2 linked regions of the Yarrowia lipolytica genome follow. The protein of the gene in region 1 purifies or fractionates together with the protein of each later gene. This does not show direct contact. Links are inferred from orthologs where the notes say so. Each region holds a gene or a part of one and is shown on either strand. Other genes may lie near its edges. The genes, in order: YALI1_B21562g and YALI1_B08438g.

Region 1 (11,811 bases):
TCGATGATACTCTTTGAAGATGTTAATGGTCGACTTATCGACACAGTTCACCTGAAGCACGGAAGATTTCTGGTTTGTGTGTAAGTACCGACCCCACAGTATGTACAAAACGCTGATGTCTCGTACATTGTACATTGATTCCTTCTAATACTCTACATACTATCCGAGCATGATCTCTTCAACACTCCACGAACTAACACATCAGGCCAGCCATCGATCTTGTAGTACCTGTTACTCGTACAATATCGTAGATAGCATGTGCCACAAATGGGAAATCTCAGATTTTCGAAAGAACCTGTGAATTTTGCAAAAACCACGATCACGTGACTTATTCCAGAGTAGACCACCACGACGGGTCAACAAGTCGTCCAGCCATCATTAGTCAAGCACCAGAGAGTTCAATTCTGAAGTATTTGTACAGCGTGAGACAATACAGGAATTCTGGGTGTTACCTTTGGCTTCGTGGCTTGATATTTATCATTTACGTGTTTCAGTATTTGGTAACTCCATGGATTGAGACATCATCATATAGGCTTATGAGTAACGGGCGACTCTTTATAATATACAGAATGTGCAAGGGTTACAGTAGTACTACAAGTTATAGTAATCTGAAGAGTGAGTTACAGTGTTACTGTACCCGTAGTATGTATGTACCCAGTACAGTAGCCACGAACTGTACTCGTACTGAAGTTACTGAGATACAATAATTGGAGAGTCCCCTAATCATGCCCGTTCCTTCGGTCTAGATTTTTTACTAAGAATGAGCTACTTGCATTGTACCAGAGAGAGTCCATCACAGAATATGTGAGGGCGCGGCTCTGACGTCATCTCTGGGGCTCTCCTATTGGATGGCAAATATTTTCATGCTTATCGTCCTCGAGCAGATGTCTTCGATTACGGCCAAGTCTCGGCGCAGAAGCTCTTACCTAAATCTGTCGTGCCGAGCCGAACCATCCATGCCACCTGCCACCGACGTACACTGTATGTACTAAACTAGACTGTCTTTGAGACGATGCTCACGCTCACGTGGTCAGAAATCTCCGATGCTACCCTGGCCTGAAGTCGATCAATATACAATGCCGCTGCCCCTTCAAAAAACACGGCGTGGAGTTCTTTTCCTCAGAATTACACGTGATGGCAGAGCTGCCAAGCCTGCTGCCTCCAGTCTATTCTTCCGTTAGAGCGGACACAACGTTACCCGGCGGGGAGACTCAGACCAGAAGATGTGCCAGACTGGATAGAGCCACAACAAAGCGGTTTCACGTGAGACAGGGAGGACTCTCGGGTGAGGTTTCCTGATTTGAATAATTAAATGTATCTCATGGGTACGTATAGTACAAGTAGGTGCACTCAACAAGTTGCTGAACCAAGCATTTACCCCATTTCCCCTCCTCTGGGAAGATGGGGATAAAATGTCACGTGACCTAATAAACAAGTTACAAATTCATTGTCTATGTAATCGAGTGGAGTTTTCCGATATCGGGATTTCCCCGCCGGTTATGAGCCACTCTCCCTTTTGCGTTGCCAAATAAAATTGCGAGGATGATAGAGTTCCGAGCAGAGGTAAGTTAATTATGGAGGCTGAGTTAAGATGGAGAGGCTGAGATACGGCTGTGGAGACTCTACAATAGACATAGAGTTGCCCAGGATGAGTGTAAAGAAGGGACTTCGTCGGCTTGATAACCCAACGACAAACAGGTTTTTTTTTGCATCAATGTTAATTCTACCATAGTCGAACGCTGTTAAACTTGCCTCCTTTAATAACGCCCCCCTTTACGTCATTTTCCCTCACAGCGTGCGTCCTATAGGCACATAAACTTGCCCTTCATAAATCCCACAGCATACATCAAAAGCCGCTTTATGTGCGCGTAGAAGCCGCCATTTGTGCGTGCGAGGCGTAGGTAAGAGAACTCGAGCGGTGTCGGAGCTTTATATACCGGTATCGGTGCCCCCTATTAGACTTGCTAGTTTAGCTGGTTTTCTAGATCTACGGTAGCGCACTTGGGGTCATGGGCATTTTCCACCTAAGCGAGCAATATTTTCAGAGATCAAGGTCCGTCTAGAACCGTTAGGTGGCATGTTTCTCCTCGAAGTCCTTGTCTGCAACGTGTACAGCTGGACCCGTTTGGTGGGGTAAAGACAAACGAGGCAGACTCGGAGAGCACAGAAAAAAGGGCAATGGGGAAAAAAGCAAAGTCTAAAAAGCTAAAATACGTGGAGCCATGGGCAAGCAATAAGGTCTGTGTAAGGCACTTTTCGGCGAGAGAGAAGTGGAACAGTAGCTCAGAAGAGAATATGCATCTATGCCCTTCTAGGGCTGTATTTCTTTTTCCCAGTTGATCGGGCTTGGTCACGCTACTTGACCGAATCAGCCATCACTTAGTGTGTGTCTAATGCTAGCCAAGAGCTAACGGTCAGAGTTGCATGCATTCGGTGCTGAAGGAATAATCAGGGAAGTAACCATCTGTATCAAATGCTCTCTCTCCTTTGACAAATATTGCCGGAAATCAGTCCACATGAGTATTGCACCTCCTAAATTTGCCTCTCCTCTTTCCCCACACGGCTATCTTGTTTTACCTGCACCAGTAAACACAGTTCACTGCGCTGCACGGCTAACCTAGAGCATGTTACACCCGGCCACCTTGGCTTATAAACGTTGGTATGGGACGCTAGTGTAGACTCTAAAAGTGTTGTTGCAAAGAAATCCATCTCATTTGAACTGAGCGGGTTTTTATTGCACATCTTTACACCTCTCTCTTGCATCTTTTGTGAACATGGAAAAAAACGAAGTGGTATCAACCAACTCTCCCCACGAGGAGGGATCTGTCACTGAGGCCAACAACGGACGATGGGCCAACTTCAAGGACTCCTTCCGACGAGCCGATCTGAGCGAATACGACACCGAGGGTCTTTCTGATCTCGAAAAGGCCGCTCTGGCAACCGCTAACTCCCCTCTCAGTCGATCCCTCAAGGGACGACATCTCCAGATGATTGCCATCGGAGGATCCATTGGAACTGGTCTGTTTGTTGGCAGTGGAACCACCCTGGCCACTGGAGGACCGGCAGCCATTCTCATCGCCTACTCCATCATTGGAACTATGTTGTTTTGCACCATGCACTCTCTGGGAGAACTGTGTGCTTGCTTCCCCGTCTCCGGCGCGTTTGCCTCTTACTCTACTCGATTCATCGACCCCGCCTGGGGCTTCGCCATGGGATGGAACTACACTCTCAACTGGTTTATTGTGTTCCCCCTGGAGCTCGTAGCCGCAAGTCTGACGGTCAACTACTGGAATGAAGCTAACGGAACCAACTACAATGCTGGCTGCTGGGTCGCTATCTTCTGGGTGCTAATTGTCTCCATCAATTTTTTCGGAGTCAAGGGCTACGGAGAAGCCGAGTTTTACTTTTCGCTTATTAAAGTCATTGCTGTGGTCGGATTCATCATTCTCGCTATTGTTCTGACCTGTGGAGGAGGACCCAACCACGACTACATCGGAGGCCGATACTGGCACAACCCCGGCGCTTTCTCTGCTGGTGCCAAGGGAGTCTGTGCCGTCTTCGTGTCTGCTGCCTTTGCTTTCAACGGAACTGAGCTGGCTGGCCTGGCTGCTGCCGAGACCGCCAATCCCCGAAAGTCCATCCCCACTGCTACCAAGCAAGTCTTCTGGCGAATTACCCTCTTCTATATTGTGTCTTTGACTCTGGTCGGCTTCCTTGTTCCCTGGGACCACCCCCAGCTGCTCAACAAGAGCTCTTCTGCTGACGCTTCCGCCTCTCCGTTCGTCATTGCCATCAAGGCTGCCGGCATCAAGGGCCTTCCATCTGTCATGAACGTCGTCATTATGATTTCCGTTCTGTCCGTCGGCAACTCCTCTATCTTTGGTTTCTCTCGAACTATCGCTGCTCTCGCCCAGCAAGGTCAGGCTCCTTCCTTCTTCGCTTACATTGATCGAAAGGGACGACCTCTGTTTGGCATCATCACAGTCTCGCTCTTTGGACTGTTTGCATTCATCTGTGCCGGTCCTATCGAAACCCAGAACACCGTCTTCTACTGGCTCATGGCCATCTGTGGCCTCTCCTCCATCTTCACATGGGGCTCCATCAACCTGTGCCACTTCCGATTCCGAATGGCCATGAAGGTCCAGGGTCGATCTCTCCGAGAAATGCCTTTCTTGTCTCACGTCGGAACTATCGGATCCATGTACGGCTTCCTGCTCAACGTAACCGTGCTTGGATTGCAGTTCTGGATCGCTCTCTTCCCCGTGGGAGGTGCCAAGCCTAAGGCTGACGTCTTCTTCCAGGCCTACCTGGCTGTACCTGTTGTCCTGGCCTTCTATATCTTTTTCAAGCTGTGGAAACGGCCCAGCTTCGTGGCTCTAAAGGACATGGACCTCGACACTGGACGACGAGAAACTGACTTCGAGCTGCTCATGCATGAGATGGACGAAGAGGCTGCCTACATTGCCTCCAAGCCCTTCTACTACCGAGTTTACAAGTTCTGGTGCTAACCGCTGCATTTAGTGTTATATATATATATTGTTTGTTATTAATTGAAGAGTACAAGGACAAGTGCACATTTCATTCAACTTATCGCTACTGTACATACGAGGAGCGATGGGAGCACTACTTCGGGGTCTGCATCGTACGATACAGTATATATATATACTCATACGAATTGTACAATTACATCACAAGTACAAGTACCCGTACAATTACAGCACAAGTAATAAATATACATGCAAGTATTACTTGTACTGTTTACTCATACTCATACTCATACTGTACATACGTACATACTGTACTTGTACTTCAGACATTTGACACACGCTCTGTCCAACACCCACCACATTGATGACAGTGCACCTCGGCGAGTACTATGTGCTGTGCGCCATGTTTGCCTATAATGTAGAAATAACCTGTTTTTGTCAACCCAAATAACGAGATAAATCCACAAAGCCGCGTTTGTATGTCGGTTTATTGCTTACCCCCTCCGCCAACACGTTGCTAGGGGCTCCAGTTAAGGTTTGAACGCGACGCGTTCTCCTTGCCAAAATAGGACTAAATTAAGCCGGGTAACTAGACGACGTGTTTTCTGCATGGGACAAGAATATATCCCAATCCTCCTGAACACAACACATCGTACCGAAAACCACACACGAACACACCATGGACCTCGTCGACCAATTAATGACCGAGGGGATGGAGGGTCCCTCTTCCCCCGGCCCTCCTTCCTCGCCCGGAGCCAATTTGCCCTCTTCTTTCGCAGGACGAACACCTGGAACCACATCTGCTCATGGAGGCCCTAGCTCTGACCAATACAGAGAACCAGCTGCCATGGATGTACCTCCGGACGAGGAGGTGCGAATGCGGCGAATTATGGAGCAAGAAACAGTTCCCAAGGTTCAGGACGCCACTGGAGAGAAGGTGCGTGATCTATTTGAAGAGTTTCTGGAGACTTACGTTGATGGATCAAATCCGGAAGAGTACTCTGATGACGAGGATGGAACTGCGTATGACGGGCGACCTTACGTACGACAAATCAAGGGTCTTCGAAGTTTCAACAAGTCGTCAATTTTCGTGGACTACAGACACATGAGCGAGACTGAAGATGGTATTCTGGCCCAAGCCATCAGTGACCAATACTACCGATTCATGCCATTTTTGCTGCGAGGTCTGACCAATGTGATTCGAAAGATTGAGCCCGTGCTTCTGCAACAGTCTGTAGGCTTTTCTGAGGATGGAAGTTCGACGTTTGGAGGATCCAAGTCGTCGTCTGCCTCAGATCAGCCCCGACACTTTCAGATCTGTTTCCACAACCTTCCTGTCGTGTGCAGAATTCGGGAACTCAAGACCGACAAGATTGGTTGTCTTATTTCTCTAGGGGGTACTGTCACTCGAACGTCCGAAGTGCGTCCAGAACTGTACTTGGGAGCCTTCCAGTGCCAGGAATGTCATACTGAAGTGGACGGAGTGGAGCAGGTGTTCAAGTACACAGAGCCTTCGATCTGTCCCAACCCCATGTGCGGAAACAAAAAGATGTGGAAGCTGCTGATGGACAACTCTGTGTTCTTGGATTGGCAGAAGGTGCGTGTGCAGGAAAACGCACATGAGATCCCCGCTGGATCTATGCCCAGAACCATCGACGTCATTCTTAGAGGTGAAAATGTGGAGCGAGCTCGAGCAGGAGATCAGATGATTTTTACTGGAGCACCTGTTGTCATTCCTGACGTCACTCAGCTTGGCCTGCCTGGTGTGAAGCCTCGAGCAGTTCGAGATGGAGGCCGAGAAACTTCTGCTGTGGAGTCTGGAGCCGTCACAGGACTCAGAGAGCTTGGAGCACGTGATCTGACCTACAGGATATCTTTCCTAGCTTGTTACGCTGCTCCTGCCAACATTCTGGACGCCTCTGCCAACGACAACTACGCCGAGAACGCTGCTGACGAACAAGAGGAGTACATTCGAAGTCTGAAGTCTGCCGAAGTGGAGCAGCTTCGTGATATGGTCCACGGACAGGATATTTTCCGACGTCTGGTACGATCCATTGCTCCTGCTGTGTACGGTCATGAGACTGTCAAGAAGGGTATTCTACTGCAGCTCATGGGAGGAGTGCACAAGAAGACAGCTGATGGAATTCGACTACGAGGAGATATTAACATTTGTCTGGTTGGAGATCCCTCCACTGCGAAGTCCCAGTTCCTTAAGTACGTCACCTCGTTCCTTCCTCGATCTGTGTATGCTTCCGGTAAGGCATCCACTGCTGCAGGTCTTACAGCAGCTGTGGTTAAGGATGAAGACTCTGGAGAGTTCACCATCGAAGCTGGAGCTTTGATGCTTGCTGATAATGGTATCTGTGCTATTGATGAGTTCGACAAGATGGATTTGGCAGACCAGGTGGCAATTCACGAGGCTATGGAACAACAAACTATCTCCATTGCCAAGGCCGGTATTAACGCTACTCTGAACGCCCGAACTTCCATCCTGGCCGCTGCAAACCCTGCCAAGGGTCGGTATGACCGCAGACTCGGTCTGCGAGCCAACGTGCAGATGTCCGCTCCTATCATGTCTCGTTTCGATCTGTTTTTCGTCATTCTTGACGAGTGTAATGAGGCTACGGATACCGCTCTGGCCAGCCATGTCGTTGACCTGCACATGCATACTGATGAGGCCATCGACCCTCCCTTCTCCACTGAGCAGCTGCAGCGATTTATCAAGTACGCCCGTACCTTCAAGCCCATGCTGACCCCCGAAGCCCGAGCAGTTCTTGTACAGCAGTACCAGCAACTCCGAGCCGACGACGCCACCGGAGCTGGAAACAGTTACCGAATCACCGTTCGTCAGTTGGAGTCCATGATCCGTCTCTCTGAGGCCATTGCTCGAGCCAACTGTTCGACCATCATTTCCCCTGCCTTTGTTCATGAGGCTGCCAAACTGCTCAGAGACACCATCATTCTCGTTGAGCGGGAAGATGTGCTTCTGGACGAGGAGGAGGACACCGTAGACGCTGCCGAGGACGCCGTTGACGAGGCCATGGAAGCCACCCAGCTAGCCAACCACACACCCCGGGACCAGATCACTCACCAGCAATACACACACATGGTCAACATGATTGTGTCCAAGCTATCGGAGAACTACACCGACGATGCCGATGCCAGTAGAATCGGAATGTCGCTGGATGCACTACTGGAGTTCGTGCTGGAGCAATACGAGGAAGATATGGTTGATGAGGAGGATGTGGAGAACCACACTCGGCTGACCAAGAAGGTCATCAAGAAAATGAAGAAGAACAACCTTCTCATGACCGTGCGAGGTAATTTAGACGACCTGGAGGCCCCAGGAGATGGAACTGAGCTGTATGTGATCCATCCTAACGCTGCGGCCGCTGAGTTGGAGGAGACTAGACAGACAGGAGGTGTCATGCCTGATGACGAGTAGGGATAAATGAGCTTTCAGGATAGCTCTCCAGTAATACACACTCAGTTCATACCACACGACTTTAGAGAGTAAGTAACTAATTAATGTATTTTTATTTTTATTGTTTTCCAAGAGATTATTAATTTTATGATCTCCTTGTATTTATAGCAAGATGTGCAAGGTGAAAGCTGATGAAGAATGTTTGTAAATACAGTAAGCCGCCTCTAGGGTAAAATAGAGATGCCTATTAATACACGTACGAGTACGGTAAGTTATATTTCTAGCTTATATAATCACGGGATCTTATACATATTCAACCATATACAAGTGCCATGTATGCGGGGGTGATACGATTTAAGCCTCATTTTTAGAGCCCATGATTCTGCGCAACAGTAGCTAGCCCATGATATAAGACCATGAAGTTAAGGCCATACTTGACGTGTGAAACAGGCCTGATATGTTTTGAAGACGGCTCCAGTAAGTCGCTCCAGTACAACCAATGACACAGGAAGGAGGTTCATGTGCACCACCCAGAAACTCTCCAAACAAATACATTTAGGCTTCGCGTCAGACGCGTGTGATTAGGTTTACTAAACTTCGGGGGTGAAATTCACAGGAACATCTACGCACACCATGAGTGACTGGACTCCTGAAGGCGCTCTTCCTGCCGATCTCAAGGAGGAAATCGCGGCAGCTGCCACCGGCACAGAGTCGCTTCTGGCATTCCTGAATGTTGTTGAGCGGCTCAAGACAACTCCTCGAACTGGCTGGCTGAGATACAAGATGATCGATGATCCTGGTGAGTGACAACGATATAGGGAAGATCTCAGCTTGGACTAACACAGAATCTATTGCCGACCACCAATACAGAATGTCCATCATCGCCATGCTGTCTCTGTCGCCCGTGAACCAGAACACCTGTGTCAAGATGGCTCTAGTGCACGATATGGCCGAGGCTATTGTGGGTGACATCACTCCGTTTGACGATATGACAAAGGCTGAAAAGTCGCGACGAGAACACTCATCGATCATCTACATGGCTGCTTTGGTGGAGAAGTACAACCCTGTGGCAGCCAAGGAGATCGTCGATCTGTGGAACCAATATGAGAACTGCTCTACCGACGAGGCCCGACTGGTCAAGGACATCGACAAGTTTGAGCTCATGCTGCAGACTTACGAGTACGAGAAGCAGCACAAGTTTGCTGAGGATCTCAGTCAGTTCTACACTTTGCGAGGCGTCATCAAAACTGAGGAGATTGGAAAGTTGGCTGACGAGCTGCTCAGAAAGCGGCAGCTGGCCATGGACAAGTTAGGTGTCAAATGGGATTAAATATATAGAGGGTATCGCAGTTGAGCACATATTACATACTCTATTAATTAATTATCTATATCTATACATTCCTCCTAGTAACACCCAATGACTTAAGAGTCGAGGTTACAGTAATAACTCTGTTGAACGCCCAGCTTGTACTTGTGGTTTAAATGTTGTCCCTACCAAAGATCATAGCTGCAACTGAATGTCTTAGCGCAATAGCAGCCAGACCGGAAGCAAACTGGATACCCAGAAGCACAGCGGCAAGGTGATCCTCTCGCAGGGGTCCAACATAGACCAAAACCAGGTTGATCAGTGTCATGTTGGAGATGCTGATGACAACTCCCTTCTCGTCTCTCCACACTTTCAGCAGGTGTAGCTTCTCCAGCACGTAGATCATTATTTGGCCAAGCTTACCAGGCTTCTTTTTGTCAAAGTAGGTCCGGGAAGGCTCCAAAAGACCTGTCTCGGGGTTGAATTTAGGCAGTCTATGTCGAGGACAGTCGACAATCTTGAACAGCTGAGGCACAGAGTACAAGAAGTTGAAGATCTGGGGCACAAAGAACAGCAGGAGGGTCTTGGAGAAGTGGCCGAGAATACCAACAACCGCAAAGACCATGCCGGCGAAGTAGCAGTAGGTGTCTCCAACAAAACATTTTGCAGGGCACCAGTTGTGTCTCAAAAGAGCGATACTGACAGCCAGGAACGGCAGCAGCAGATAGACACTGAAGAGATGAGATTCTTCAGCGGGGTGGTTGGGCTGAACGAGGTAGATGAAATCGTTCAGCAAGATGCACACGCCAATCATAACCGATTGGCCAACTTCCAAGCCGTTCACGCCAGCGTAAATGTTGATGGAGTTAGGGCAGAAGATGGCCACGGCCGCCATGTACATGTAGTAAAGAGCCCCGAGGTCCACTATGTCTCCAAAGTAAGGTCTCAAAACCACGGGAACCATGACGGCTGTAATTCCAAAGTCCACGTAGTAAACTATGAGCAGCGGGATGGCAGCAATGGCAGGTAAGAAGAACTTGTTTCGCCATCTGATATCGAAGAGATCATCTGCAACACCCAGGATGAACATGGACTGCAGACACAGGATGGCAGAAAGGTACTCGGCGAGTTTTTCGTGAGGGAACGCACTGAGAATTCGTCCCTTGACCAGTCCCTCGCTCAAGCTGTCGTAACCCACAACCACGCCACCTCCGATGGTTTTGGCCAGGTACTGGTAGAACACAAAAGGAATGAACAGAAACATACAAAACAGGTAGACAATGGCACATACGGCTCCCATGGTCTCGGGAATCTCAGGCCGGTCTTTCTTGGACAGGTCTCGACCCGAGAAGCCGACCTTGATGAAGGCTGGTCCAAGTGCAGGAATCAGGTTGTAGGTGACCAGATAGGCGATGAGGGAGAAACCGACTGACGACAAAAGAGGCTGGTCCGCGGGATTGAAAATCAGACTGGCCGAAAGAGCCAAGATGGCCAGTACCGTCCATATCGACGAGTACATAATGTGTGTGTTTTGGCGGGCGTGAGGTCGACGGAGTTTCGTGTTCGAGGTTGTCGTTGTAGATCCACGTCATGCTGTATGTATGCATGTCCAAAGTTTATTCAGAGTAGTATTTTTGTCGCGCATTATGGTAAACGGCGTGTTACAGGATCATAAGCGAGCCGATGTCAGACCAGCTACCAAGAGTAATAAGGGGGTCAGTACAGGTTATGTGGTAGTACAAACGTGTAAAAAGACCGTATCACGGTATATCTGGGTCTGAAGTGGCGTTCTCGATATTGCTTTATAGATTCTGGTTGTGGAGAACAGTTCTCTCCTGAACAGCAGTAATTGTATTACAGTGAGTGTTTTGGTGCCTCCTGAGACCAGCCTTCTTGAGTTTATTTGTGAAGTTGGGGAGCACACTTGAAATGGTCAATATTGGACTCGTGCGAATAAAACTGATGGAATGTATCATAGCTGCTACCCACCGCTTTACTGTAGTAGTTCCATCAGCTTTCTGCTATCGTTCGAGCGCTTTTATGTGAGCTGAGTTCGATCACACATCCTAAGCACACCGCAATAAAATCATGATGCTATCCTACACATTCCCCTTGAACATCAATCATAACACGACAATAAAGATAACACGAATAGTGAAAACAAACCTGTATGGATAGTGGCTCCTTTCACTTTTCAACATACGAAGATACTGCTTCACTAGATTTCAGTCTCTCTTACTGTAGATACAAAATAACAGATTTTTTGAGTCTTCTCAATAAGATCAAGATGATACCAAAAGTGCCAATGCGATAGCTCGTATCTAATATTTCTACAGAGCTACCCTCCACCTGAGGTTCACATCACAGAACACCTACAAGTACTTACAGTACAAGTACCGGTACGAGTACTCGTACAGTGCATGGGGCACGATGCTGGATTACAAATATTAGATACATTGTCTCCTCCCAAAACTCTAAATTATCGCACCTCCAATTCTACATCACCGAGACTGTCTCTTAAGCATCAACAATGAAACCATTCAACACTGGACACGAGGAGCTGGTGCACGACGTTGCGTACGACTTTTACGGCC
Region 2 (11,811 bases), about 1.3 Mb from region 1:
CATCAATCACCTTCTTCCATCCAGCAACAATGGCAGAATCGTTCCAGATACCGGGAACTGTCTCCGCACCGAATCCTCCTCCGCCAGAAGAAGGATGGATGTAAGTGGCCTCGGAAATCAGAAGAGTTCCGGGAGATGATCCTCGCTGCTTGTAGTACTCGACAGCAAGATCGGAAGGAATGTTCTTTTGAGCTCGAGTTCGAGTCAAAGGAGCCATAACAACTCGGTTCTGGAGCTGGGTGGCTCCGATCTTGATGGGCTTGAAAAGGTTGACAGTTGACATATGGCTGTGTGTCTTTGAGTGTCTGAGGAAGTTGTCTCTATTGTCTGTCTCTTCTCCATCGACAATCAACCAAGTTATATATCACCATCTTCATAACGCCTGATGCCCAAGCTTGCGTCAAAGATGCATTAAATATGCACCTCAAAGCAGGTTTACAAATTCGTTCCTATAAATAAAGTTTCGGCTGCAGAAGCCGTTGGATCGCACTTGCTACTGACGCCTCGAAAAACGGACTTATTGACACAAAAAAAGACATGATTGTATTCACCTCAATGGTGCATTTCGAAGAGTACAATTTAAACCTTATTTTAGTAACTATCACTAAAAATCAACTGATACTGCTTGCTCTCCAACCTTACAAATCATGCACCAAAACGGACATAACAAAGTGAGGCGACGGACATACTCCCGTAGAGTTTGCCTGGGTTTGTCAGAGTCACGTGATGACGTGATGGTGACGGTGACGCCTGTCGGTCTCTGGGTGGGTCACGTGTGCATCAGAAGGATGGAATGTTGTGGAACGTTGACAGGCAAAAAGTTGTGTTCTTGTAGCTACCGTACATACTGTACTGCGGCGGCCACCTCTAGGGCTTACGTAATCCGTAGTCACATGACCAGAATCGGTCCCATTGCAAAACCTAGCCGGACCGGTTGATCCGGGAGGTGCACCCGAGCAAGCTTAGAAATCACCGGCTGGGAGATTCCGAGATGGACCGAGCAATGAGTACAGTACATACATTCTGTACATATTGGTAGAGTGCGCGATTGGCACATGCCCACGTTTCTGGGAGTATTTTCCGACGCTAGCATGGAATCATTTTGAAGCTCTAGAAAAGGTGATTATTCCGGTCTACTTTGTTTGGTTGTCAGACCATTATTGGTGGTTTGAGGGGGTGGCGGGGATAGAACGTTGTACATAGGGAGACATATACAGGGAGATGCTCTGATAGCTATACAAGGTAAGTCGACTTGAATATTTCACCAACTATGAGTCTGGGGTGTCGTATACTTGTGTAAGTACTGTAAGAGTCTTTTGAATTCTTTTCAACAATTTCAGGTCTGTCGTCGTTTCCATACATGTCTCATTTAGATCGTGCAAACCAACCAGACGATGTTGGTGTCATGTCGGACAGTAAAAGGTGACGTGACCAAAATGGAGGGGTCAATAGCAGGCACAGAAGCGGGGATACTGCTGGGGAGTTTATCCTACTTGTACTTGTACAAGTCCAAGGGTTTTTATTGGTTCCGTATCTTGTTTTGAATGCGTGCTGGTACTGTAGATCTACTTGTAAGATTCCAGTGCTTCACCTCGTTGCAATCAAGTCGGAGATGTCCCAAATTTCCACATGCTCAACGTTCAAACGGCATTTTTGTCGGAACCATCGATCTACAGTACAGTAGCTAGGGCATGTCTCAGACTTGGCAGCTGGGAAAAACTGCTTTCCGCGGTGCTAAACCCGCTGGAGACCAACTAGTGTTCCTCGGTAGTTTTTCCAGCTAGTCTCCAGGCCGACTCGGGGAACTAGGCTCCAGAATGTGGAATATGGAGAGAGAACGTCCTCCCCCATATTATTTGCAAGTCTCAGAAAAGTCACTGAGTCTGCTTCTACTGAGTTAGGCCTGAGACATGCCTGGATGTGAGACTTGGTTGTGTCAATGGATAGAGCCGCGTCTATGGCTTTTGAGGACAGAAGCAGTTCGGCTACTCGACGATTTACTCAACGTGGAGCCATATATCAGACCACACGAATGAACCAGTCTTTTGGGCACCAGACCAGAACCACTCCACCTGGTTCGTTGTAGCCGGAAATTCGGCACCTTTTAGCACTTTGATAAATCCAATAACAGCAACGTCTCGACCAAAAAAGACCTTGAAACTCGGTCACAATCCCACCTCCATCTCACTTCTCACACTCAATCCTCTGTCTCACTCTCCTACCCCGGAAAAATAGTGCCGTATGACGCACTTCTAGCGGCTTCATATAGTCGACCCCGTCTAGACCCCATACCCCGGAAGCGACACGGCTACTGATGCACGCACGCAGTTTACTACTTTGTGAACTGCTCGAGAACCGTCTTTGTATTCTTATCAGGCCCATACCCACAATCGCAGAGCACATTCAGACCCACTTCCCCCGTGAAGCGCCCAAATCACGTCTGGACAAACCCGGAAAAACAAACGGGCCAAAAAGTGGAGAAGAATGTAGCCCCTCAGTCTCGCACTAGCTCGTCGGTACAATACACGTACATACGTATAGGTCATCTGAGACCGTGTTGAGAAGGCCAAGGGTTGAACCTGTAGGTAACATGGACCCAAAAATAGCGTGGAAAATCCAACTCTACACGTGACCAAGGCTCGGGAAATGTCACGCTTTTGTTAACAGCCACCCCCCTGACTCTTTTCCCATTCAAAGCTCGTTTTTTTATGTTTTCCACGCTCCTTTTTAGCCCATTTCAAGCTCCTAACAAGGTATCGTAGCCCCACATAGCCTAACGCTAGTTTTCGATTTTGGGGGAGGCAGTAGTACCCGTGGAAACTGCCAACAGATTCAAATTTTAAAGCTATGATTTGGTTCCCCCAGATGAGGTGAATCTAGCCATTTCTTTTTGTTTTCGACCAACAGTCTCCCCCAATGGCGTGAAACTTGGAGACCGGGTACGTTTAATGCAAACCAAATCCAAACAAGTAGTTGCCGTGCGACCTTGTCAACACCGTGATTGAGAATACCAGCCCGCGGAAACACCAACAGGGACCAATTGCTATCGCAGCAGACATTCATTCATGTGATATGCCATATCCACAGCCTGCGAACGCCCCGAAATCTCGTATTTTTCTGACATGCTTGGCATCTTGGCTCCTCCTACAAGTAGTAGACTAGAACTCTGCGGGGAAGACAAAAGAGTCGGTAGTGCCGTGACATGTATCAGGTGTTCAGCCGCTTGTCGGGGCCGAAGACAGAGGTGTATCTGGCAACTTTCGGTGTCAATTGTGCAACCTGGCGATTCGGCAAATGGGATACCTCCCATGACCATCAGGACCGTCCTGGACCGTCCTGGACCACCCACCCAAGACCACCTGGTAGTTTCGACCCATACTACAAGTACAAGTACTGTACCCTATAAGTACCCTACAAGTGACTATAACCCGTCTAAAAGACCCCCTTCGCTCTGCAGATAGCTTGTCTCACGCGCTAAATGAAACAGTATAAATAACAAGTCAACGGACTCACGGTCCACCCCCACCCCCCAAAAAATGATTGGAAACGCTCAAATTAACCAGGTGGGAGCCTTACAGCACCGGTTCCCCAAACTCCACAATCCTTACTTAACTGCGGCCGTGGCCACCATGGGTGGTCTGCTTTTCGGCTTTGATATCTCGTCTGTTTCTGCCTTTGTCGACACCAAACCCTACAAGGAGTACTTTGGGTACCCCACCTCCATCCAGCAGGGCGGTATCACTGCCTCAATGGCCGGTGGATCCTTCCTGTCGTCTCTGGTGGCCGGCTGGATTTCCGACCGACTTGGTCGACGTTTCGCCATCCACTTTGCTTCCTTTTGGTGGGTGGTTGGAGCTGCCATCCAGTCCTCAGCCCAAAACAAGGGCCAATTGATCGCCGGTCGACTCATTTCCGGCCTTGGTATCGGTCTGGGCTCCTCGGTTATCCCCGTCTACATCTCCGAGCTGTCTCCCAAGAAGATTCGAGGTCGGCTTGTCGGTCTCTTCCAATGGGCCGTTACCTGGGGTATCCTCATCATGTTCTACATTTCCTTCGGTCTCAGTAACATCCACGGAGTCGCCGGATTCAGAGTCGCCTGGGGTCTGCAGATCATCCCCGGTCTGCTCATGTCTCTCGGTTGTTTGTTCCTGGAAGAGTCTCCGCGATGGCTAGCCAAGCAGGACAACTGGGACGAGTCCGTGCGAGTGCTTCGAGCCATCCACCAGGGAGGCTACGGCACCGAAGAAGACATTTTGTTAGAGATTGAAGAGATCCGAGAAGCAGTCCGAATCGAGCATGAGACCAAAAACCTGCGATTCTGGCACCTGTTCCAAAAGGACTCCATCAACCGAACAATGGTGGGTATCTGGGCCCAGATCTGGCAGCAGCTCACCGGCATGAACGTCATGATGTATTACATTGTGCTGATTTTCACCATGGCTGGATACACTGGAAACGCCAACCTGGTGGCCTCGTCTATCCAGTACGTCATCAACATGATCATGACCATCCCCGCTCTTCTGTTCATTGACCGAGTGGGACGACGACCCCTGCTGCTGTTCGGATCAATCGTCATGATGATCTGGCTGTTTGCCGTCGCTGGTATCCTTGCAGTGTACGGAACTCAGATCCCCGGTGGACTCGACGGAGACGCATTCACAACCATTGTCATTGAGCCCACTCACAAGCCTGCCCAAAAGGGAGTCATTGCGTGCTCGTACCTGTTTGTGGCCACCTTTGCGCCTACCTGGGGCCCCGGTATCTGGCTGTACTGCTCCGAGCTGTTCCCTCTGAAGCAGCGAGCTGTGGCTGCCGGTGTAACCGCCTCTGCCAACTGGATCTTCAACTTTGCTCTCGCTCTATTCGTGCCCTCGGCCTTCAAGAACATCAACTGGAAGACCTACATCATCTTTGGAGTCTTCTGTATCGTCATGACCATCCACGTCTTTGTCCTCTTCCCCGAAACCAAGGGCAAGACCCTCGAAGAGATTGATATGATGTGGGCCGCCCGAGTTCCTGCCTGGAGAACCGCAAACTGGGTGCCTGACCACGTTCCTGGCGCCCTTCCCGAAGACGAGAAACACTCGGAGGAGATGGTCGAGGCCGTCGAATCCAATGAAGAGGAGCCCAAGATAGCCAGTGCTAACGTCGACGCCCCTCCCCCTCAATTGTAATAGCAGTAATTAATAATGTAACCAGGTGTCAGCGACACGAGCACTGGTCTGAATTGTTGAATAATGTGTTGTATTGTACTCCACAATATTTAGTTGGGACTTAGTTTAGTGTCAACAGTTTATCCCATTGATTTAACAAATACTAAAGGCATTTATTTAACAAACCTTATCATCAAACCAGAGAATGTACGGTAACAGGTAAAAGTATACATACGCCTATAGTGGATACTTAGGAACCTCAAATTACAAAGGAGAAATCATTGAAATAATCCCCAACACGTTCTCTACAACATCCACTTTTTATATTTCTTACAACCCCTCTACAAACACCTCTACAAACATACCTACATACAAACCAATTTTTTTTCACCAACTCTACTAAAATCCATACTTGTTTCCACCCCTGATCTACTTGTAGTGATTGTGAGACACGTTATGGGCCAGTTTCCGCCCTCGCCTTTTCGATCACGTGACCAGGACACACACACATACACACACATAGATATACACCCTCACGTGACCACACCGACTGCACTTTCTTTGCAGTACCCTAACCTCTAATTACCGGTCTGCACACGCGTAACTTTACCTTGACGCGTCTTTCCACCACACCGAATCAAAGTGAGTGACGACTGACAACGACACACCATGATCATCCAACCAGACCAGTTTGAAGAGACGTATCGGGCGCTGTGCAAGACCAGTATTGCTCACATGACGTGCAAGCTGGTGGTGTTTGTGTCGTGTCTCAATGTGGACGCTCTGTGTGGAGCTCGAATGTTTTCTGATCTGCTGCGAGCCCAGTTGATCCCCCACAAGACGGTGCCGGTGACGGGCTACGAGGAGATGATTCGCAAGTACCGGGCTCTGGACCCCGAGATTCTCAACGTTTTCTTCATTGGGTTCGGTGCCACTCAGGATGTGGGGGAACTGTTGAGGGGGGACGACGAGGAGATGGAGCTCAAAAAGATTTACATTGTGGACGGAAACCGGCCCTGGCACTTGGATAACATTTTGGATTCCAAGATTGTGTGCTTTGACGACGGACGGGGCAATTTGGAAGAGCGAGGGGAATTGTTGGTGGCATACAACTGGCTGAACGACATGAGTGCCGAAGAGCTGGACGCTCTGAGTGATCTGGAAGATGAGGGTGACGATGACGACGACGATGACGACCAGCAAATTCATAAGAGAAATGGTCACCACACCAATACTGTCGACGACAATGATTCTGACTCCGATGGTGGTGATCTAGTGGACACTCTACTTCCTTCGAAACGGTCCAACTCTGAAGACCTGCCTGACGCCAAGAAACTGCATTCCCAACTTCTGTCGGCGAAGAAACAAAAAGACGACTTTGAAGACAAGATCAGAGCCTACTACCAGCAAGGCACCTCTCAGTCCTCCCCAGCCTCTTGCATGCTCTACACTCTCATGTCGCTTATTGGTGAAACGTCAATCACTCGCTTATGGTTAGCTGTCGTGGGAACATCTTCTCTGGACAGTCAATACCCGCAAGTATTCCAGGACTCGTTTCCCATGCTTGCAGATGAAGTAAATCGAGTCGGCAACGAAGAAGCAGCCGCCCAGATGGCCCAGAATGCAAACTCTGAGGCCCCCGTGTCAGAAAAGGAGCTGGTCACGTCTCTCAAACTCGAAACCGACTACTCGCTGTTTGTGCTTCGACATTGGAACATTTACGACTCCATGTTCCACACGGATTACATTTGGGCCAAGATGAAACTGTGGACGGAAAAGGGCCGTCAGAACTTTCAGAAGATGCTGGCCATCATGGGTGTTTCATTGACAGAGGCTCGAGAGGGCTGGATCCATTTGAAGGTGAGCGTCAAGCAGGGTCTCAACAAACGAATCGAAAAGGCGGCCAAGGTGGCCGATCTGGAGGATCTTCTGCGACCCGGAGTGGTGCGAAAGTTTGGATACAAGGGCTCTCTGACAGCTGGAGATTGTGTGGATGCTGCTGGTGTTATTTTGCAGCTAGGAATGGACAAATCACCCGCGGGATTGGATCATATTAAGGAGGGCATTCTGCTCACAGTCGACCAAGACTATCGTGACGAATCGCAACGAGACCAGTTCTGGATAGCCAACTTTTGGAGCGCCTGGGACTCGTTGGAAGATGTGGATACACTGTTGCTTGGAATCAGCAAGGCCAAGCTGCTACAACAAGCTGTGGCTCGAACTACTACTGCATTGATTGAAAAGGGCCAGATTCGGCCCGTGTCGGACTACTTGGTGGCTGTGGTGAAGGAGGGACCCGATCTGGCCCTGTTCAGAAACCCCCTGGCATTGTGTCGACTGGGTATCTGGATTGCCCAGACAAAGGCCGAGGCCCACAAAAAGAAGTATTCTCCTCCACTGGTGCTGGCCTCTTTGGACAAGAGTACTGGAAACTACATGGTGTTGGGCATGAACCCTCGACAGGCCCGAGATTACCATTTTGTCATGGAAGAGGACCTGGAGGATGACCGATTTGTATTCAACCAGTTTACTCAGCGGTTTGCGAAGGCCGCAGAAGATGTGCATACGAGATACAAGATGGACATGTTTGAAATGGCGGTGATTGAGGTGGATAAGAACGACTTGACGCGGTTTTTGGAGCGGTTGACTGTGGTCTAAAAACAACGGTCATGTACAACAAATACTTACATAGGATACATTAATAGAAGCATTATTTAGTAGAAAGTAACGCTTGCTTGTATAGATGCGACCCTCTATGACTATATACATTGTTGCCTCTACTCTATGGCAACATAATACTGCCGGTATTTTCTCTGGACGCAGCACCAAGCAGAACCAAACTGACAGCATCGACAGCCATAAGGGCAGCCTGGTAAATTCTGGGTGCGGAGATAGTGGTCACAAACAGTACCGCCAAAATCATCTCACTGGGAACAGCCACCAGACTCCGCGCTACACCAATACCTCCCATGATAACAGACATGTTCTCGGGCGGTCCAAGACCCATCTGAAGAGCAATGGTGGACGAGATGAAGGTACCCGAAAGACCTGAGAGAATGGCAGCCAGTGTTCCGATGGTCTGAGATGCAAACAACAGCTGAAAAAAGCCAACCACAAAAGTCAGAACTGCCTGAAGCTTGCATCCAAGGATAGCCACAGGAGTGGAAGAAGTGGTGTTATTCAGCAATTTTTCCGCCGTGTTGACAAACAGAGGTCCTAGGAAGATTTGGGACACAATTAGAATGATTGTAACTTCCACGTTGAGAATGGTAATCTCCTGCATGCCCCAGTTCCATTGGCGTTTGTAGAACAGAAAACCAGTGTACTGAGATGTTCCATACAGACCAAAGAGAGCCAGGTAGGCCAGCAGGAAGGAGTTCTTCCGTTTATCCTGTGGAGAAGGAGCCAGACGAAGCACTTTCGAGATTGGTGCCACAAAATTGAACACGTAGATGAGTCGCTCGTCCCATTTCAAGACGCTCCACTCCGCATCCCACTTCACAGTAGCTCTGTCCCGTGATTCGAGCGTCGTTGATTCAGGAAGGATCACAACGACACAGCACACACCAGCAAAGACAAGCATTAGTCCCAGCTTGCTCATTTCAGCAAACGACGATCCGGCGGCGTTGGTTGCAACCACGGTGTTGGCTAGCATGGGGCCAATCAGTGCGCCCAGAAACAGAATGAAGGCGTAGAAGAAGGAGACATCGGTAGCCAGCTCCTGCAGGTTGCGCTTCCCTTTACTGGCAGAGGCTGCGTCAGCAAGGTAGATGAGAAAGAAATCCATGAGAAAGTGGGTGCAGAAGACAATGTTGGGGATGATCCATAGGAACAGAGGCACCGACAGAGCGTAAGTGACGAACCCCCATTGGAGCAAGTAGGCGAACAGAACTGCCACCATTGACATGACGATGACCGGCTTGCGTCCGTAGCGGTCTGAGAGCTTGTAGATGTGAATTTTGACCAGCAACCCTACCAAGGATCCTGCAGTTCGTAGTCGTCCTCCCATGGTCGCAACTTTGGTGTGGATTGCGTCCGTTTGGCACGCAGAGGCGTATTCCGTGAGACTGCCATCGTTAAGGGTGCGTCGACACACAGCAATGAGAAATGCATCAGGTCCTGTCAGCTGCAACACACCGTAGCCGAGGTAGAAAAAGAACAGCGAAGTGACAAGAATCGTCACCCCTGGTCGTTTGAAATAGCCCAATGAGGGGTAGTGATGAGTGGATTGGCTGGGCAATTGTGTCTGTGTCGTTATTTGGGTCCGTGTCTGTGGCTGAACCACTGGACTCGTAGTTCGACCTGTTGTCGTCGTGGGGGGATTCGCTAATGGTGAGCCGTTCATTAAGATGTGATATGTGTGAGATGCAAAGAGACGAGTCGGGCTTATGGTAGATGGATCGCTCGGGGTTGTTTTGTGTGTATATGTAGTTAGTGCCGTTTCTTGTCCACAGCACCTGTCTGTGTTTATGTTATGTTGTTGTCAACTCTCTTGGTGTGTTGTCATAATTCTGATAGTGGTGATAACAATGGGGTGCAGGAACGTGCATCAACAAACTGGTTCCGAGCTGTATGGGGTTAGTGAAAGTCTAGATTTCGACAATGAAAGAGGCCCGAGTAGCGCAGGTATCTGTGCTATATATCCCTCGGTTCGCTCGTTTAGGACATTCTACGCGGAACTACAGGACATGTATTCGTCTCGGTCACACTTTTTTATCCGCATCGTTTTAGGTTCCAACAGATAATGTCGTAGGGTGCAAATGGCACACTGGTGGCAATTAGACACTTGGTGGAAGAGTTAAGTGGAAGGGCTGCGACCGGGGCTACGCCCTGGTCGCAACATATGCACGATTTAGGCCGTTCTTCAAGAGACAGAAACGTCTGTGGTTGGGTTGTTTGGCTTAACTAACAAATAGCGTTACTTGGAGAGATAGTTGACGGACGTGATTGAAATTGTCAAGTGGAGGAGGGAGAAATGAAACGAGGGAAGACAGGCTGAAAGCAACCAGTGAGTGGTGTTGGATATTTAATTGGGGCTTCAGAAACCGAAGCTGAAGTTTCCACCTCTCTCAGCATCTCCCAGTAGTTCTTAGTTGCTCAGAAACAAGCCGTCATTTAGGCGCCGTATATATGTCGGTCTCTGGAGTCTTTGAGAGGCGAAAGGAAGATGCTGAGTCACTGAAAACATTTCCAGCACCAAAATACAACATTCAATCAACTCCATATGTCCCCAACACACCTCTGACTTCCGCAATACCCATTCTTGTTCTCAACCAACCCAACCCATAGCCATGACTCGTAGCACGTCGCTCTGACTCCCCTAAAGACTTCAAAAACACTCACTGAAACTCATATTTCTCATTTTAGTCAACTCTTCTGGGCACCCTGGGTACTCTCTCATTCTCTGGCGTTCTGTTGAACTTGTGAGTTAGAACTGTATCTGTCACACCAGCGTTTCGAGAAAGTCGATGTACTCAGAGGCGTCATCATACGTCCAAAAACAAATTTAACACTCTTTGACGCTATAAATACTCCATTAACAAGTCGCCTTCTAATTATAACATCTTCTCAGGTCATCAAGTGTTCTATTTTCGACTACAGCACACGGTACAGCGCTCCCAGAGAACCCAGAAAAAAACCACGCAAACACATTGTAGTACTTTTATTTAGCTTGAAAATGATGGCGAAGACGGAAACACTAAGAATGGTAACTTTGTCGTGTTCTACATGGCTCAAAAATCGATTAGTTCCGTCGACAGTAGCTACAGCGAGTGAGTACCGACACATGACTACTAGGGATTCGTGTAATTCTCCAGATGCCTCTGTATTCTATTCTTAACACTTATTCTACATCTTTCACATTGAAAAGTTTTCTCTGCAATGTATTTTTGGAACAGTCAGTGTGTGGAATGCAAACGTGGAATGTCTCAAGGGACCCTACCGATTGATTGGCGTAGCAGATACTGTCAGAGTACCGGTAATTGGACATTGCCTAAGACATGACTAAGAATCCCTTGTTTGCACACCAAGGTCAACTAACTGATCAAACACCTCTTCGGGAAACTCCTCTTCGGGAAACTCCTCTTCGGGAAACACCTCTTCGGGGAGGAGTTCGTATTTCTCAACTGTATGTACACACTGTACGCAACTACATAGCGCCATATCACCCGACAACTCAACGGCTGGCTTCTAGAGGTTCATGTAACATTGCTCAAAGCAGGGGATGGAAGCAATCGTCGAACACCATTGTATATCAGTCCCGCGTTCGTGGAATTTTGCTGGCGACACATTTGAATTCACTCCACCTGGCCAATCTCCGACATCGGAACTCAGAGTTATGTCCAAAACAAAGAGGAAAGAACGGGAGACACAAGGGCGGTCCAACTAATACGCATTCCAGGTGCATCCTTCTAGTATGGGCAACTCCCATAAGTCCCCACTTATACCTCCTATCTCTAATCTCCAGAAAGGTAAACGAACTGCCATAAACGGCTCCCCACGTATTCGTGTTATAATTAGACTAGATGATTAACTTAGACGTAGAAAAAGCAACGAGGATGCTGGGTACTGTAGCAATTTACCAGCAACTTTATTGGCACGTTTCTCTGTTGTGTTGGTTGAGGCAGTCCAGAAACGAGCGGTACTGTACGTACAGCAA

The links.
Region 2: the proteins of YALI1_B21562g (region 1) and YALI1_B08438g purify together in Schizosaccharomyces pombe (affinity purification with western blotting; 3 studies listed by BioGRID). This does not show direct contact. The link is inferred for Yarrowia lipolytica from reciprocal best matches to the Schizosaccharomyces pombe genes mcm6 and cdc45.

Annotation. Positions count from the first base shown.
Region 1 is NC_090771.1:2,151,103-2,162,913, forward strand, and holds YALI1_B21562g (uncharacterized protein), read left to right. Parts: upstream 1-5,166; coding exon 5,167-7,932; downstream 7,933-11,811. Other genes in the region: YALI1_B21538g (uncharacterized protein), read left to right, coding at 2,775-4,508; YALI1_B21594g (uncharacterized protein), read left to right, coding at 8,328-8,388, 8,528-8,710, 8,757-9,241; YALI1_B21618g (uncharacterized protein), read right to left, coding at 9,390-10,736; YALI1_B21628g (uncharacterized protein), read left to right, coding at 11,748-11,811. UniProt on the Schizosaccharomyces pombe protein: Acts as a component of the mcm2-7 complex (mcm complex) which is the putative replicative helicase essential for 'once per cell cycle' DNA replication initiation and elongation in eukaryotic cells.
Region 2 is NC_090771.1:837,849-849,659, reverse strand, and holds YALI1_B08438g (uncharacterized protein), read left to right. Parts: upstream 1-5,822; coding exon 5,823-7,811; downstream 7,812-11,811. Other genes in the region: YALI1_B08493g (uncharacterized protein), read right to left, coding at 1-283; YALI1_B08461g (uncharacterized protein), read left to right, coding at 3,537-5,174; YALI1_B08401g (uncharacterized protein), read right to left, coding at 7,936-9,498. UniProt on the Schizosaccharomyces pombe protein: Required for initiation of chromosomal DNA replication. May have a role in regulating the MCM proteins nda1 and nda4.